2 linked regions of the Oryzias latipes genome follow. The protein of the gene in region 2 purifies or fractionates together with the protein of the main gene of each other region. This does not show direct contact. Links are inferred from orthologs where the notes say so. Each region holds a gene or a part of one and is shown on either strand. Other genes may lie near its edges.

What was found.
Region 1: the proteins of klhl6 (region 2) and nudcd3 purify together in Homo sapiens (affinity purification with mass spectrometry; 3 studies listed by BioGRID and IntAct, counting the BioPlex papers as one, with this or other methods). This does not show direct contact. The link is inferred for Oryzias latipes from reciprocal best matches to the Homo sapiens genes KLHL6 and NUDCD3.

The regions. Positions count from the first base shown.
Region 1 is NC_019870.2:1,856,858-1,861,200, reverse strand, and holds the start of nudcd3 (nudC domain-containing protein 3), read right to left. Parts: upstream 2,854-4,343; 5' UTR 2,719-2,853; coding exon 2,521-2,718; intron 2,150-2,520; coding exon 1,866-2,149; intron 1,797-1,865; coding exon 1,664-1,796; intron 1,599-1,663; coding exon 1,455-1,598; intron 1,373-1,454; coding exon 1,184-1,372; intron 1-1,183. Other genes in the region: mrps24 (28S ribosomal protein S24, mitochondrial), read left to right, coding at 3,264-3,299.
Region 2 is NC_019879.2:24,301,201-24,305,535, reverse strand, and holds the start of klhl6 (kelch-like protein 6), read left to right. Parts: upstream 1-1,441; 5' UTR 1,442-1,893; coding exon 1,894-2,144; intron 2,145-2,857; coding exon 2,858-3,023; intron 3,024-4,335. UniProt on the Homo sapiens protein: Involved in B-lymphocyte antigen receptor signaling and germinal center formation.

The sequences.
Region 1 (4,343 bases), on a different chromosome or scaffold from region 2:
AATAAAACAACAAAATCTTAAAATCCTTAACCTCCATTGTGTTACAGAATGCGTTCACTTTTCCACATTTACAGAAATCTTCAATCCTGATCAGATCTTTGTTTTCTTTCTATAAAACTAAACTTCTTTTTCTACGAATGTTTGAATTTTGTCAGTTTGAAGGAGAGAAAAGTGTGAAAATGTTTGTCTGAGAAAAGTCTAGAAAGTGAGTTTTAAAACATCCGTCCCGTAGTTTTAGAACGTTTACGATAAACGAGGGAACACGATTACAAGTCATAATCGTGTGCTAATGGGGGTGTGGTCTGTTGATTGACAGGCGACTTGCAGCAGAACACCTCTACCGGCATTACAACAGTTGTCGAGCCGTGTGTGTCGCTTATGCATTAATTCTGCTTTTGTTTACTGATGTTGATTGTTGTTGATTTCCTGAGGAACATGGCGCTCTGTCAGAATGTCAATTTTTGTAACAAGTTGAAAAAACGGTTGGGTTTATGGTAAATACGTTACTATAGCATGTCTGTGTTATTACAAAAGTTGGGATTTAGCGTAGTCAGGGTGACGTTTTATTTTACCAGTAACAGTTTTACGTGTCCCAAACATGGTTGGCAGTTTTTAACTATGCTTACGTGGCTAACATGACTAACGCGGCTAATGTGGCTAACGCAGGTAACGCGGCCAATGGGGCTAACGTGGTTAATGTGGTTAACACGGCTGATGTGGCTAACTCAGATAATGTGGCTAATGCGGCTAACATGGCAAACATAGCTTACGTAGCTAACGCGGCATACGTTGCCAATGCGGCTGACATGACTAAGCTGGCTTACGCTGCTAATGTGGCTAACATGGCAAACGTGGCTTATGCGGCTAAAGTGGCTTAAACAGCAATAACACGCGTTGTGTAATACAACTAAGGTCCAGAATGTCTTTCGTCTCACATGATGCACCGGTTGTTTAATGCGTCTTATTTACTACGTAACTTTGGAAATAACGTTTTTAATTTTGTTCCTACGCTCTTATATTTAGCTAGTTTAGCATCTTTCTACCTTAGTGCCCATGAGCCTTTTTTTAAACGATCCTCGCGTTTCTATTCCGTGAGTTCTTCTGTTGGGCTCAGCACCGATTGGCTGTTCCGATGAAAGCGTTGATCTAAAGTCCCGCCCCTCGCGCCCAGCTGCTTCCTCACCATTTCGTGGCTCTGCGGTTTGCCCTGCAGCTTCTGGTGGTAGTCGAACGTCAGCCTGTCCAGGACGGCGTGTTCCTCCTCGTCCACCGTCGCCATGGAGCGCTCGCGGTTGATCCGGTTGATGTCGATCTCCTCCTCCCCCTTCAGCACCGCGTTCCACCAGGTCTCGGAGGTCTTGCTGAGCGACAGCTGCGAGTCACAAACACCCACATGAGCCCGGAGAGAGCGCTCTTTCCTGGTGAACAGGGCCCGGTTCTGTCCCGGTTCTCACCACGACACACTTCCCGGGCTCCAGGCTCCACAGGGAGTTCTCCGTGTTGATCTTGTGCGTGAATTCCCCCTCCATCAGAGTTCTCTCCTCGCCGCCGTCCTTCGTGGACACTCTGATGCCGCTGGGCTGCAGACTGACGCTGACCTGCAGACACGCCCCCGTCAGCGCCGGATTGCCGACCTCCTGGCGGCGCAGCGGCTCGGACTCACCTGTCGGCCTCTCACCACCGTCTTCGGCACGAAGACCCGGACCTCCACGTCCGTGTAGTCCTGAGACCAGCTGTAGTTCTCCCTCTGTGCTCCGTTGTAGCTGTCGGGGTTGGCCTGAAACATGTCCTGGTTCCTGAAAAACAAACCCGTCAGGAGGCGGGCCCGTCCAGGAAGCTCCTCCTCCTCTGCGCCGGATGCTCACCCTTCTCCCGCCGCCGCCGCTTCATCTCCTTGAGACGACGGAGCTCCTCTGCCGCTGGGGGCCGCAGCCTCACCGGCAGCAGCCGCAGCGTCTGGAGCCTCGCTGGCGGCGCTCTCCGGTTGTGGCGCCTCCACGCTGCTCCTCTCCTCTGCCTTTGGGGGCTCAGAGGAGACCTGCAGCTCCTGGACTGCAGGAGGAACGCCGCGGCTCTCCTCCGCGTTCTGCAGCTGGCTCAGCGCCCTCTGCCGGTCCTGATCCGCCATCTGCTCGAACAGCCTAAACGTCTGCGGACAAAAGAAAGTCTGCCGTGGGATCCAGAAACCAGTTGGAGCTCAGAAGGAGTTTGGAGAACCAGAGGCACTGGTTCCACTGAAACCAGCTCAGTAGAAAGAGGCGTCTGGGGTTTTGAGCGGCAGGAGAGATGACGGGGCCCCTGCAGTCAGGTTTGCCCAGGGCCCCTAAACATTTTTTAAACGGTCCTGAAACACGCTGGGGATGTGTTTTTAGAGTGTAGATATTATTATCTGTGGCGCATCTCTACAAGAACCCAAACCAGAACACGAATCTAAACAAGATCTGAAACTTTGGTTCGTTCGCGGCAAACGCTCGGAAGGAAGGCACGCGCCACGCCGCGAGCGCCTTTACAAAACTTCACCTTCAGCACCATCTTCTCTGCGACTCCAGGAGGGAAGCCCATCCTGTCGTCGGGACCGGACAGCAGTCGATAAAAGTCCGTCTTTCTGTACAAAAACCCAAAGTAGACCCTCAGGAAGTCCTGAATGTTTCCGACGTGTTGCAGGATCCCCAGCAGAGCGTTGTCGTACATTTCCGTCATCTCCAGCGGCGACGCCATCGCGGCTGCGAGCGCGAGCCCTTTTCCGAAATGACCCGAGTGACCAAAACCACGAACGACAGTGTATAAATGAGGCCGGTTTGTTTTGTCTCTCTGATTACGGTTGTCTTTTTCCAGAACAATGACGCAGTTTCCGGTACCACCATGTCAAAATAAGAGCACACCAGTCGTTTTGTTTGTTTTTTTAGCTTGCTTTTCGTCGAAATCATCTTGAAGCAAGCTAATTTACAAATTAGAGAGCCCACTTAAATATGCACCAATTTAATTTTATTTATTCATTGAAATCAAGCGCAAAACAACAACAACAAAATACTGTAAAAAATGATTTATTTCCGTTCCAGCTACATAAACGCTCCCTAAGAAACAACATAAAAACAAACGGTCATAAAAACATAAAAAGGGCTGTTTTGATCGACACTTTTAGTTTGGAAGTTGTTTTTAATATAAAGCATGCGTTTTTGTTGTTCTTTTTAAATAAAAACGTTGTTATAAAACAACATAGATTAAGGACAATAGTAGTTCCGCTTCAGACGGTACAAGAAAACATGGCCGCGTCCTTCAGCTGCGGCGGGAGGCTGCTGGTGAGACAACAAAATGAACATTTATTAACATCTAAGACATTTTATTTTATCGAAAACGTCTTTTCTTAAAAATAATGATGACGTCTCAGAAACGATGATATTCTGGTTACGAACGAGAAGCTTTTCTGTGAGAAATGTTGGCCTGCCGAGAACGAAGAGACGATTAACTTCTTTAAAGACTTTTTCCCCCCATAAATCAATGCGTGTCTGTAATCCAAGTGAGCTAAAGCCACGATTTAATCCGGAAAGGTTTTCAGCATTTGAAGAAAACCCATTGGTTTCAGGATCCACCGACAGAGGGCGCTGCATTCAAATGACACTAAATCTATCTAAAGATCTCGTTTCAGTTAATAACCTCTCAGTGTTTCTCAACATTTGGAAGTAGAGCAGACCTGCATGTGAGGATCTGAGGGCTCTAAGAGGTTCAAAAAAGTATTTTGGATCCATTTAGACATTTATAAACGAAGGAACTAGTTTTAAATCAACTCTGAAAGCTGATGGGTTGATTTAAAAATCAGACGTGTTTCTCCTTCTTTCTTGAACAACAAGCTGAAGTTTATTTCTGTCTTAAAGACTCGACAACAGGTAGTTTTAGATGGAACGGAGGCAAAAACTTCTGCACTGATGGCTCAGATTAGGTCCAGATCTGTTCGTCCAGACTTTCATATGAACTTTCATTCATATGTTTGTATCTGAGAGTGAAAAGTCATCATTGGTTCTTCAACTCCCAAACTAAAGACCATTATTCCATTTCTCTGCGAGCTCTAATAGTTCACCTTTCAAATCAGAAATAAAACCAAAGGAAAGTCAAATGGTTAGCATTTTCCAAAATGACAGCTTTCTGATGGTTTTATTTCCATGGCAACCTTTTTGTTTTTTGGTCACCTGAGGACGCTCGCCACAATAACGCAGTCCAAAACCTACACACTTTACTTCCATCATTTTCCTTCCAAGTCGCTTCCCAATGATGCTTGGATCGAAATCCCTCGGAGGAGTTTCAATTTGTTGGCGGCCTCTTCACGGGGTCAAAGGTTAACCAAACAT
Region 2 (4,335 bases):
TCCCTGCTCCAGTCCATTCTGATGCATCCACTTGTATACGACTAAATCCATGTTTGTTTCCTAGTCTGAGTTGGGAGCTGGCTCAAAACTGCATCGATGGATAACTCTATTGTTGTTGCACCTGTAATATTAGGTTGGGGGTAGTGGGAGAGAGTGTAAACAAAAGGATGATGGGAAGTGTGACCACCACAACTTAGAGGCAAATTCTGATGAACTGCTGCTGTTCTGCAGAAACTACTGTATGTCCTTGCAGTGGGACTTTGATTTTTGTCATTATTAGCATCAATTTTTAGGTATGACCAAAAAGTGGATTTATTAACATTATTCTGTTTATTAGTATAATTCTGTTTATTAACGTTATTCTGTTTATTAACATTATTCTGTTGGCAGATATTCAAGTAAAATATCTAAGAAAGTTAAACATTCTTGCACCTCCCTTTGCTAAATTCTAGGCTCGGATATCTTAGCCTTTTTAAAATCTTAACATTTTTGCAACAACTTAATGATATTTTCATACTGTATGACTTTTATCAACAGCTTTATTCCACCAAGACGATAAAAACGGTTCAACGTGACATCAGCAGCTGTCCCACAAACTCACACTGAAGAAGACAAACAAAAGCGACAGATATGTGTGCACAGATGAATAAAACCTATAGGGTTATTAATCATGACTTGAGTGGAGAATTGTGATTAAAACTAACACGTAATATGTCGCATATGAGTGAAGTGTATCTGTGGAGAGTCTCGTTCGTCCAGGATGATGTTTCCAAATTCACCTGGACTTTAGATTTTTAAGTTGACGAGGTTTTGCCTCTTATTGAAGGAACTTTCTCAATTCTGTGACAAACTGAAAAGAGAACTACTTTTTGTAAGCGTCTCGGAGGAAGGAAATGGTCTTGATGTGGGTGACGACAAAGTGACGAAGAGAAAAAACCTTTGTTTTTGACCTTAGCATGCCTTTCAATGGACTTACATTAGACTCCCCCCAAAAGACTACATTGATGACCCTTTTTATACAGTAACTACTTCTGTAAAAGTGTAGATCTAGATCATCTCAGAAATAAGTGACTGTTTATTACAAATGTTATTGCCCGTGAAATCAAAAACCAGGTTTTCTAGGACAAAGCATCTTCATTTTCAACTAAATGAGACGGAGGTGAGAGATGATCATCTGGGCTTTCTTTAAAAAAATTGCACATTAGAGTAGCTGCACTAGAAGAAAAAGGATGTAAAAGAGAAAACAGTTGGCTTTTCTGTTGGCAGTTCCTTTTTATTCTTTAAGGTTGTAATTTTTTTTTAATGTTTAATGTACTTTCTTCCTGACACGACAGACGTATTTTCAACACAGCCTTTTGTTGTCCCAACGAATCCTGCTGGATGGATGTTCTTGCCTCAAGTCCTTCTGCATCTCAAACCCTGATCTCACATGTCGCTCCCTGCCCCTGTGAAAATAGCGCACTTCTCAGAAATGTAATCAGTCGCATCTCACTTCAGTTCGAGCACGGGGGAGTGATTGAAGACAGTTGAACAAGAAGGGAGTGAACACAAACCACATCCGACCCTGAAAGAAGAAGAACCTGGGAAACGTTTCACTGTTTTTTTCCACTCTTCGCCTGATGCTGAGGTTTCTGCAGCAGTTCGTCTGAGCTACTTTGGACTCGTTTATGCGGCAGAAGAAGAGGAAGTATGTAGAGACAAACAAACATTGCTACATCCTCAGTGAACAGGAATAGGAAGTATGAAGAGGAGAAGAAAAGAGAAAAAAAATGCTCGTGTCAAAGTAACTGTTGGCATGAAGTTTCATTCGGTTACAAAGAGGTATTTGGAGAACGCTCGCTGGCAGTTGGTCTGTAAAAAGTGACTTCTTTGGAAGAACCATTGAAACTAAACATGAGCGATTCACTTGAGAGGACAACAGACTGCCTACTTAGTGAAGACAGCTCCAATCAAATGGAAGAAAAGGACAAGGCAGGAGTTGTGAGCGAGCTGCGCTGGCAAGATGAAGGCCTATCGGTGGAGCTGCTGAGAGGGATGGAGACCCTGCGGGTGAACAGAGAACTGACCGACGTGACCATCTGCGTTCAGGGACACGACTTCCTCTGCCATCGAGCCATTCTTGCTGCTGCTAGTCAGTACTTCAGGTACTACAAACTATTCTACACTTGCAACAAGGCTTGTTTTTGGACATTTAAGATATTCTAGCAGGTTTTAAGTTTTTTTTACCTGATCTTTGCTCCACACCTTTCCAAGCTTTTCTCAAACAGGAGAATTTCTTGTCTCTTTGAGAGCTAGGATCTAGAAATTAGGACATTATTATTAAAATGAGCCAAAAATCCTTTTGCTCTAAACTCCTGACGACAGAAAAACTATATATGAAGACTCAAAAAACAACAACTCAAATTACACTGTAACTGTTATTTTAAAGTTTAATAAACGTCACCAAAGTCATCACAACCGCTGTGCTCTGTGGTTCAGATCATTTACTACTCCTTAGTAATTTTCTTCCTAGGCTTTAGTGCTCTTTTCCTATTTTTAGGCCACATCTTTTTTGCATTGTGAGCATAATCGAAACACTGCAAAAACTGAATCTTAGGAAAGTAGAAAGTCCCTTGTTTCAAGAAAATCGTCTCATTTTTCATGTCTTTCAAGACAAATAATATTATCCAGAAGTTTTTCAAAACAAGGTTAATCTTAGTGTGAGAAAACATGTCTCTGTGACAAATGTTTAAATTCTTGGTTGGGCCATTTTTCCTACACCTCATTGGCAGATTTTATTTGATTATTTATTTTGACTTATTTCTCAGGGACACGTTTTTGCAGTGAAGATGGTGAAAAAGTGTCTCTGTGTGTGCAGGGCCATGTTCTGCAGCGGCCTCAAGGAGAGCCACGAGGACCGTGTGGAGATCAAGGGGCTCGACAGCGGAACCATGCGCACGCTCCTGGAGTACACCTACACCAGCCGAGTCTTCCTCACACACTCAAACGTCCAGGGCATCCTCGAGGCTGCCAGTCAGTTTCAGGTAAAAAGGTTCCACATGACATGGAGACACTTTGTGTTAAAGGTGTGATGCACAATGTCAGCATACTTTCTGAAATCTTCATGTTCAGCTGCTTTTTATGTTTTTTTTATTCTTTTTTGACCACAGGAAGCACAAAACCAGAATTTTATGTTGTTATAATTTAACATGTCTGTATTCACAAATCCATACATAAATGGCTGCATACATTTTTTTAAAAGTGTCCTTTAAAATTGATGTTTCAACTAAAATTAATACATTTTCAATGGGAAAAATGGTGGAAAGCTGCTTAAACTAACAAAGGATTTCTACACCTAAAGCTTTGTATTAGCTGCAAAAACAGCCCCGTGACTGGCTATTTTGTTTTTTTCTATTTTAGTTTTGCTCCATGTCTGTAGATAGCAATGACCGGAAAATACATATTAAAAATAAAGTTTATTTAAAAATAAATAACTAAATAAAATGAATCTAATTTCGCTTCAGGGCTTTTTTTAAAAACAAAACTCTCTTACTTTACAACATGAAGGGGTGCAAACATGTTTTTCTGAAACTTTCTTATCTAATAGGGAAGTGAAAGTGGGCCAGTTGTTCATACTTAGGATCAGTTTTCCATACAGACTCAAATTATCTTCACAGCTGTGCCTTAGAGAAAAGAAGACAGCTGCTTTTACTGCCAAACCTTTTGACGGTTTTCACCGGTATTACGCTTTACGAGAAAACTAGCAAATTTATTCTCGTGCATTTTTTTTTAACTTGTCCTGTCCAACAGCTGGGCAAACAGATGAGAGCTGAAGGCCTCTTGTGTTGGACATATTTTACTTTAACAACAGGGGTTACATTCTTCTGACAAACCAGAGGTATGTTTGAATAAACCCCTTTTGTAAACGAGGCCAAACTTTATTCATTTTAATTATATTTGAAAATCTTTTTTGTTGGACCGGACGGAAAAGGAAAGGAGGGAGGAAGAAAGAGGGACATTAGGGGGGGGGGGGGCAGCATAAAGCAACAAGTTTCCGGATGGTTCCAATCATTACAGTGAGGTTCAGATGTAATACAAGTCTATAAGGGCGGGGCCTGTCCACACACACACTCAGATGTTATAAACATACCTGTTGGCTCCAAACAATGTCAGCATGTCAACATGAACACAATACAAACACGCATTTATGCCTTCAAACAAACTAGTGTGAAATATTTCATTCAATCACATAAACTATTTGTGCAAAAGTGAGCTAAAATCGGTGCTCAAGTGAGTGTTTATGTTCTTATAAAATATTCTTGTGCATTTTTTATTCACAAATGTTTTGGATCATAG